2 linked regions of the Nothobranchius furzeri genome follow. The protein of the gene in region 1 purifies or fractionates together with the protein of each later gene. This does not show direct contact. Links are inferred from orthologs where the notes say so. Each region holds a gene or a part of one and is shown on either strand. Other genes may lie near its edges. The genes, in order: hspbp1 and edrf1.

The links.
Region 2: the proteins of hspbp1 (region 1) and edrf1 purify together in Homo sapiens (affinity purification with mass spectrometry; 3 studies listed by BioGRID and IntAct, counting the BioPlex papers as one, with this or other methods). This does not show direct contact. The link is inferred for Nothobranchius furzeri from reciprocal best matches to the Homo sapiens genes HSPBP1 and EDRF1.

Annotation. Positions count from the first base shown.
Region 1 is NC_091752.1:51,238,065-51,242,575, reverse strand, and holds hspbp1 (hsp70-binding protein 1), read right to left. Parts: upstream 3,088-4,511; 5' UTR 2,942-3,087; intron 2,683-2,941; 5' UTR 2,672-2,682; coding exon 2,552-2,671; intron 2,207-2,551; coding exon 2,005-2,206; intron 1,912-2,004; coding exon 1,687-1,911; intron 1,582-1,686; coding exon 1,426-1,581; intron 1,001-1,425; coding exon 904-1,000; intron 825-903; coding exon 713-824; intron 554-712; coding exon 473-553; 3' UTR 124-472; downstream 1-123. Other genes in the region: tufm (elongation factor Tu, mitochondrial), read left to right, coding at 3,717-3,753. UniProt on the Homo sapiens protein: Inhibits HSPA1A chaperone activity by changing the conformation of the ATP-binding domain of HSPA1A and interfering with ATP binding. Interferes with ubiquitination mediated by STUB1 and inhibits chaperone-assisted degradation of immature CFTR.
Region 2 is NC_091752.1:32,218,536-32,222,353, reverse strand, and holds part of edrf1 (erythroid differentiation-related factor 1), read right to left. Parts: intron 1,404-3,818; coding exon 1,203-1,403; intron 1,086-1,202; coding exon 867-1,085; intron 772-866; coding exon 545-771; intron 472-544; coding exon 313-471; intron 199-312; coding exon 49-198; intron 1-48. UniProt on the Homo sapiens protein: Transcription factor involved in erythroid differentiation. Involved in transcriptional activation of the globin gene.

The sequences.
Region 1 (4,511 bases):
TCACAGATGCATTAACATGGCTGAAAACATTCAGAGCATGAGTTTATACTATTTATGTTCTCTGATTTATTGTTTTATTGTTTTATTTTAAATATTTAAATAAATGAATCTGGAGTCTATGAGTATTTAATATTTCAGACTTTTATCCCAACATTTAGATACATTTATACACATAAACATCTGGATGTCTGTTAACAGGAAAATAAAAGTACAAACTCCATACTGGTTAATGTAGAATATGTTTCTTTTTACAAGAAACTTTTAAAAGAGCAAACATGGAAGTCTTGAAATGTAACTTTATACAGTATTTACAGTGTAATGCAGCTCCTGGATTACATGCAAAAAATAAACAGAAAATAGTCCCAAAACAGACAAACATGTTGCTCCTTTTTCATGATTTGGCTCATGAATGATCTGATACCTTTTTTGTTCTGATGCTAACATGAGTGAAAATAAAAAAATAACATTTGTTTTAGCGATCCATCCCATTATCGTCCGATTGCTGCCCGCTGAAACACAAAACTCTCAGCTGATCGCAGAAATCAAGCGCTTCCTGTTGAGAAGAAAAGTGTGACATCAGAGTGCAGCAAATGAAACAATTTCCGTCGTTATTATATTTTAGTATGTAAAAGACTACATCCTGCTTTGGTCTAAATGACAGTATTCAAATATTTTTACCACCTTTAACCCAGGTAAAAAACACTTGATTTACCTGACTCTCTTCTTTTCCCTGGAGTTCTTCGGCACGCTGCTTGAGTAATTCCTCTAGAGCCAGAGTGGGATTTCTGCACTCTTTGAGGCCTTGTGGAAAATCTTGCACCAAACTAGACACAAAAACAAGGCTGGACATTAAAACAAGAACCACGATAGAACACTACAGCTGCTGCTGAAGAGGGTTCTCACCAGCAAAGAGCTCCCAGCACATGTTCATGAAAGGATGAGTGTGGTGAGCGGAGAACAGACACCAGCTGCTGCACCATCCCCATACACACAACCGTTTCTGGTAAAAGACCAAACATGATTCAGAAAATCCCAGGTGGAACACACAAAAATGGAAATAGAGAAAGAAACATCTGGAACAAGATCATTTACTGTTTAAAATATACTCAGAACATATATTTTTTACTTTAAATCGTCATAAAGAGGGGTCTCAATATTACAAACATATGACATAAGAACAGAACCATGGAAAATAAGCTAAAAATGGGATGACAGCCCCCTAGTGGCTGGTTCCTGTATAGATTTTAAGTCCTGCTCTATGAAAACAAACACTCCCTCTAACAAGTGCACCTCAGTTTCTTCTTTTTACCAGGTGTTGATTTAGCTCATTTATGTCATTCTTATATCACGGATCGCAGTAATTAATCATGATGCTCACAAATGGCGTGGTTCTGAACAAATTATTTTCTTCTCTTGCCTTCATACCTTTATGTTCGGGATGTGAGGTCAACAGGCTTAGCAGAAGGAAAGCAGACTTGGTCCTGAGCTTCTCGTTTTCTGACTGCATGCCTCTCATCAAAACTGAGAAGCCATCATGAGCTGCAAACTCCTGGAGACCAGCCTCCTGCTCTCGTACCAGACCTACAGAGAAACACAGAAAATGTTAGTTCTGTGTGATCTGAGGAAAAAGCAAACACACCGAGCATCAGTGAAGATTTATTCTTGAAGTTGTGTCTCTAAACTCACAGGAGACAGCATAAAGAGCTTTTACTCTGACGGTGGGGTTTGGGTCTGCATCTGTCAACTGGAGCAGCTTGGGCAGAACTTCAATCTTAAGTAAGTGGTCCTGCACCTGCGGCATGTTCTGAGCACAGGAAGCAATGAGCTGGGCAGCCCGCCACCTCAGCCCACTCTGGACATGAGACAGATACCTGGAGACGCACAAGTCCAGTCCTCCGAGAACCATCAGGTCTGTGAAGTGCAGAAAAAAAGAGATCCTTGGAAATAAATCAGCATGAATATTGTTCAGATCTGAGCACTATTAATCAACTCCTCATAACAAACCTCTAGCATTGTCCAAATTCTCACACAACTCAGACAACATCTCAAAGGCTGCTTCCCGCTCATCGTCATCATCTTCTTCATCTCGCTCCTTTTCATCTGGCTCCTCTCTGTGTAGGACAACCAAGCACTGTTTAACCTGCTCCACTTCATCCAGCTGGCCTTTGCACATCTCTGAAAGAGCTTCTCTCAGCCAGGTTTTTCTCTGTAACAAAGACAGGTGGGTTAACTTGTTCCAACTCAATTTTTTTGTGTCAAAAGCTACATTCAGTACGATTGTGTTTATAAACACACCCACTTAAGGACACCAGAATAAAACCTAATGGCCCTATGACAGTGCTGTTCAATCCTGGTCCTCGAGGACCACTTAACTGCATCTCTCCAACAACACACCCGTTTGAATAAAATGGCTTCTGATGAACTTGAAGATATGATGAACAGGTGATTCAATCAATGGATCAGGTGTGTTGGAGCTGAAAAATAGCCAACACCTGCTGTATATGGACCCTTGCGGACCAGGATTGAGGTGCCCTAATCCACAGGCTCTTACCTCCTCTGACATGGGCTCTAAAGGAGCAGGACCCTCTGCAGCTGATCCAGCATCTACTGCCAGTTGCAGAACCCCCTGAAGGCTCTGGGGGTACCTCCTGTTCTGTCTGTTATCTGACATGACCTAAACAACTGGACACATAAAAGAAATGTCAGAAAGACAAGATTATACAAGCTGTGACGTTAATATTAGACATTCCCTGTATAACTAGTAAGCAGTAACCCAGAAGCAGCTCAACCCCATTACTGTTGAGCTCTTTTTATTAAAATTATCAGGCTATTCCATGAGACTGTAGCTTTTAGCTGTGTAGGGATGGTGGACTACACGCATTATCTGAGTACAACTGTCTACAGACTCAAAACGGATATTTTTCTGAATAAAATTACTTACTGTTGAAGTGTCCTCAGATTCCGTGAGAGTATTTAAACCTACAATGTTTCTCTGAGAGCCCACAGCCGATTATAACTATTAACCACGAAAGGGCTAGAACATTCTGGCTAGTAGTTGATCTCTCGAGCAACATGAGTCAACCGCCATCTTAATCATAAAACATGTACGCAACGAGCAGTAGAAATGTGTTTAAAATTCTCTTCAGTTATTTTAGTGGTCTCATCTTTACATAAATTTCAACATTTAACTCAGATTATTAGAGTTTTATATTCATGCAACAGTTCAACTCAAAAGATGAAATGGAGATTTTTTTATTTTCGAAAGCTTCATTCTATTAAAGTGATTACGGTAAAATAGCAACGCCTTGCTACGTTTCTGACAAAGAGTATCAGTCATAATTAAAAAGGAATTTCCTAGCTTTCAAGAGAAGAAAAGTAGTTTTCATTCTTACATGAATTTCTAAAATGAATGAATAAATAGATAAAACGTCCAAAGCACTTGTTTTATATTAAACATGTTGTAAAATTATAACATTTAAACATTTTCTGCATACCAAATGAAAACTAATCCAACAAGCGTATTTGTAATATGTTCCAATATTTTTCATTCACTGATTACTGTCATGTAATGTATATTCGTAAATAACAAGTATGATTTTAAAAACAAATATACAATAATTATTATTTATGTGATTAGGGGCTGACGACAATTTTTTTGTGCTAGTCAGGGAACTCTCTTGATACTTTTATCATCTTGGTTTGTCTTATCATCCAAGATGGCGGCGCTTATGGGACTGCGTGCATGTTTCTCTGGTAAAACACTTCATGTCTTGCTTCTAAGTGATTATTTATGCCTCTGTGCGCGCTCATGGAGCCTCAGTATCATCATTCATTTGTGAATTGTATATTAAGCTATTAAGGCTTGAAGAAATGGAACAATGGAGATGATGCTCTCGCGTCTGATAGCAGAGCAAGGTCACGTTACCAGTGAGGTTTAGCTAACGACAGCTAATGCGGATGAAGACTTGACAAAAGACGACTTTATGGTTAACCCTGATTATATCCTGATAATCAACATTATACTAAACTAATCTCTACATTGTGCCGGGAAAAACACCTTGCTATAGTTATCACATGTAGTTGTTCCCATTAGCCTGAGTTAAATGTTAGCTGCTGCAGGCAGAAACGTTATTATAGTTGAAATGAGCATAGACGAGCCTGATAGAGAAGGTTAAGATAGCTTTATGTACATGTTTAGGAAGTTTATCACGTAGGAACAAACATGAAGACATGCTATTGTGTAAATTGAAAAAAAAAAAGATGTCCAGTACTGGTCATCAGGGGCCAACATGTAGTAGAGGTTTCTCTGTTCCAGTGCACCTGATTCTAATCAGCAGATTATTATTTATTAGTGTCTGAAAGTAAAGGTGTGTAGGGCTCATTAGGTTAAAAAAGTGTCTCCAACCTGGTTGTATGTTTATTACAAGAGTGAAACAGCTGTGTCAAAATAAAAGCTAGAGATGTTCTTCTAAAATATTTCCTGAATGATTGTTGCCATTTTAATCACGTCA
Region 2 (3,818 bases), about 19 Mb from region 1:
ATAAGCTGGAAGGAATTCTGATGAGAGGATATTTTAAACGAGTCTCACCTGATTACGAAAGCAGCTGTGATACATGGAGGCTAAGCGGTGGTGGATGGTGGCGGCTCTGTACTGGTACAGCAGCTGACGGGCAGACTCTGTCTGCAGGTCGCAGTATTTAAGAGACTTCATCATGGCCTCCGTCACCTCCCGCTCAATCTGCAGACACACAGACACTAGCTTAGCTCACAGCTCTAAAAGTCAATGCACACATTAGTAAAATGTACATAATTGCTGAAAAAAGATGGCCGACTGAAGGATATTGAGTCTCACCTGCTCCTGAGCCTTCCTGGACAGTGGGGCGTAGTCCTGCAGAAGTGTAGCTAGAGTGAAATAGGTCGTGGACAACTCCCAGTTTACACTGTCCCACACTGCTGTGTGACTCTCTCTGCTGGACAGAGACTTCATAGCTCGCAAGTAGTAGTCAATCGCCTGGAGTTCAAGAAAAAAGTCTAAGTGAGAACAGGTATCAGTAGAACTGCAGAACCACAGAGGATATCTGAACCTTATTGTAGTACAGAGCCTCCTCCGGTGAGAACTCCCCTCTGCTCTCGTCAGCAGAGGCTCCGCAGTGGGCCTGAGCACAGATCCTCATCAGCCGGCCTGTGTTACACAGCAGTAAGGCCGTGTTGGTGATGTCTCCGATGGCCTCAAAGTCCTTCATTCCTTTCTCAAAGAAGCCAAAACTCTTCTTCCACAGCTCCTGCTCTGCTGCAGACACGGAACTTCTCACTAGCAATTCAGCACACAGAGAAAAGTGTCACTTTTTAGGAATTTTCCCCTCAAAATAACTAAAAGTCTCCAAATGATGATGTCTGAGAACAAACCCTCTTTCTCCGTCTGCATGGCTGCAGCCTGATTCATATAGTAAACGCCCATCTCGTTGCGGATGTTTCCGAGTCTCTTGAGGACCTGAGAAAGCTGATCTGAGGGTTGATCTTTTGAGTCCTCTGAGATCAGAAGTTCGTGTGCCGCTTCGTAGCATTTGCAGCTAACAAACAGCTGGTATTCAGGATCCATAGCCAGGTCCGTTGCCATATTGAAAGCTAACAAGCAGAAAAATGAAACAAACATTAATTAAACACAGCTTGGTGCTTTTCTAAGCATTCTGGAAAGTGTGTGCTGCAACTGATTTGGCTAAGGTAGTGCACATGGGGGCGGACCCTGGCAGCTGCTCTCTCTGTGCAGGCAGTGCAGGATCTCCTGGTCCTCTTTGGTTTGATAGCTGTATTCCTCCAGGTAAGCAGCTCTGTTGCTGACATTCTGAGCCAACATCAGCTGGATGTCTCCACACAGCGACAGGCACTGGCTGTGAAGTTGCAGCACTTGTGAGTGCAACGTTGCACTAATGGAACAATAAGCATCTGAGGACAAAAACAAAAAGGAGAGCAGATGGAGAAGTACTGTATTTTCACGACCATAGGGTGCACCGTGTTATAGGGCGCAGCTTCAGTTACGGGTGTCTTTTTGGTATTTAACACATACATAAGGCACATTGGATTTTAGGGCGCGAACGCGGTAAAACATACCGGTAAAACATCTGTGCGGGCTCGGGACGGAACATGTCAGTGCAAACCAGACATTGTGAAAATTATAAACAGCCAAAAGCATGCTTCACTTTACTGTCTAGCCCTGGTTCAGACCTGGTTTAGAGCGCACGTGCACTTCCTCATTGCGTGTGCTGACGGCTCGTACTCTTCTAATGGGCTCGACACACGGGAGGCAACTTCGCCTCTCCTCCATTCATTTTCAATGAGACATGCGCGACAAAGCGATAATCGCGGGTCTCCCTCCAACTAAAGCCGGGCGTACACCGGGAGTGCTGCCGGAGGACACACAAGGATTTATGGGGGTTGGATGAGGAAAACGAAATAAAGAAAGTAAATCTGTTTTGTGATCAGGTTAATTTGACATGAACACGACAAACACGCTTTCTTGACAATCTTTGTGAGTAAAAAAATGTGTAGAAAAATAAACGAACAGCGTGTGTTATTAGGGAAATGGAGGGCGAGCGGTGTTGATGCAGGATTGCGCATGCGCCGAGAGCGGTTCCGGTACTTTTTGGGTCGCAGCGCCGCTTCAAGCGCTGATGCGCTGTGTTGAAGTTCAGAATGTGTTTACCGGTAGTTGTTGGATTTAACCACATAAACTTTCCACATGAACAAAATCATATGTGTGTTAGTAATAGGCCTAAGAAAACAGTGTGATCTGAATTGTGTTTTATTAACCCTCTGAGGTCCATGAACGCGTATCTGCGTCTTTTGAACAGGCCTGATTTGGGACGCTGTAGCAGCAAGACTCCGCCTCCCTGAGTTTCGGTTTCAATCCAGATTTAAAAAGGAGATAATAAATACACCCCAGTTTTTAAATTGTGTTAATAGGCAACGTAAAAGCGGAGTTATACTAAACTAAAAACGACCTCTTTTTAGACACTCTGACAACTTGTGTAAACAGCAGTTTAGTAATCCGTGAGAGGGAATGTGCTTGTGAACATAAAAAAACCACAAAATAGGGTTGTCACGGTAACCGGTATAGCGGTAAACCCCGGTAAAAAAGTTGACAATAAAAATAACCGTCCAGTTTTTAAAAAACTATATTATCTCGGTGGGTTTACCGTGGCCGCGGTTTTGGCGCGATGACCCTTACCAGCCACCGTCGCTTCAGCTGAAGTTCCCGCGGCGCGCACACGCACTTTTTAGTTTGCAACGGCACCAAAACTTTGAAGCTGAAATAATGGCCGAAGGAGGAGACGGCAGCGCCCAGGACATCCATCAGCCCTCAAAGAAGACTCAATCGGAAGTATGGGCATATTTGGGATTTCTGAAAAATGCTGAGGGACAGTTAATAGAAGACGGCTATCCCGTTTGCAGAACGTGCAGGAAACAAGAGTCTGCAAAAGGCAGCAACACTTCGAATCTAATGGCACATCTGCATGACCATCACCCACGTCTCTACAGCCAGTGCAAGGTAAGTTGACATTAGCATTTTAGCTTAAATGCATGACGCGAGGACTTTTGGCTGAGGGAGAATGCAACGAGTCACTATATACTGCAGCCGCAGCGTCCTCTGCCAGCATTTACACCGTGTCACGGACACCCTGTTGTTGGATGAAGCATCTTATTTGTTGATGATGAAGAGAAATATACAATTAGTTCCTTGTCATTGATTTGTTTACTTATTCAATGCCATTCATACTTGAACATTTGGATTTGATTACATAGTGTAGTAGTTATTTTAGTAATTTGTTTAAAGTGGCTATTTGTTTTAAATACATATTTTTTAAGGTTGACTTGTACAGTGCTCAAGTCAAGTGTGGACTGGAGTTTTAGATTTTCATTTTGATAATGAAGAAAACAAGTATATGAGAAAACAAGTGGTGTTTCTTTGATTTGTTTTCATATTGTTTATGTTTTGAATGTTTGGATTTGTATAATTTAAACCTGCACTGACTACTGTAACATGTTCCAGAAAAAGAAGCTATTTGTTCCTTTACTTGTGAAAAGTTGCACTTTTGCTAAGGCTTTGTGTTATTTTAGGTTTAATAAACACTGTTAAACCTTTTCAAAACTATTTCAGTTTGGGTAGAACAGGACTATCAATGCTTTCTGAACATATGCAACACCGTTTAAAAAATACCGCGATAATACCGAAAACCGTGATAATTTTGGTCACAATAACCGTGAGGTTAAATTTTCATACCGTGACAACCCTACCACAAAAACATGAGATCCTTTTGCTGTTGGTGGAAGTCTCACATATCCAATTGATAAAAAGTATCA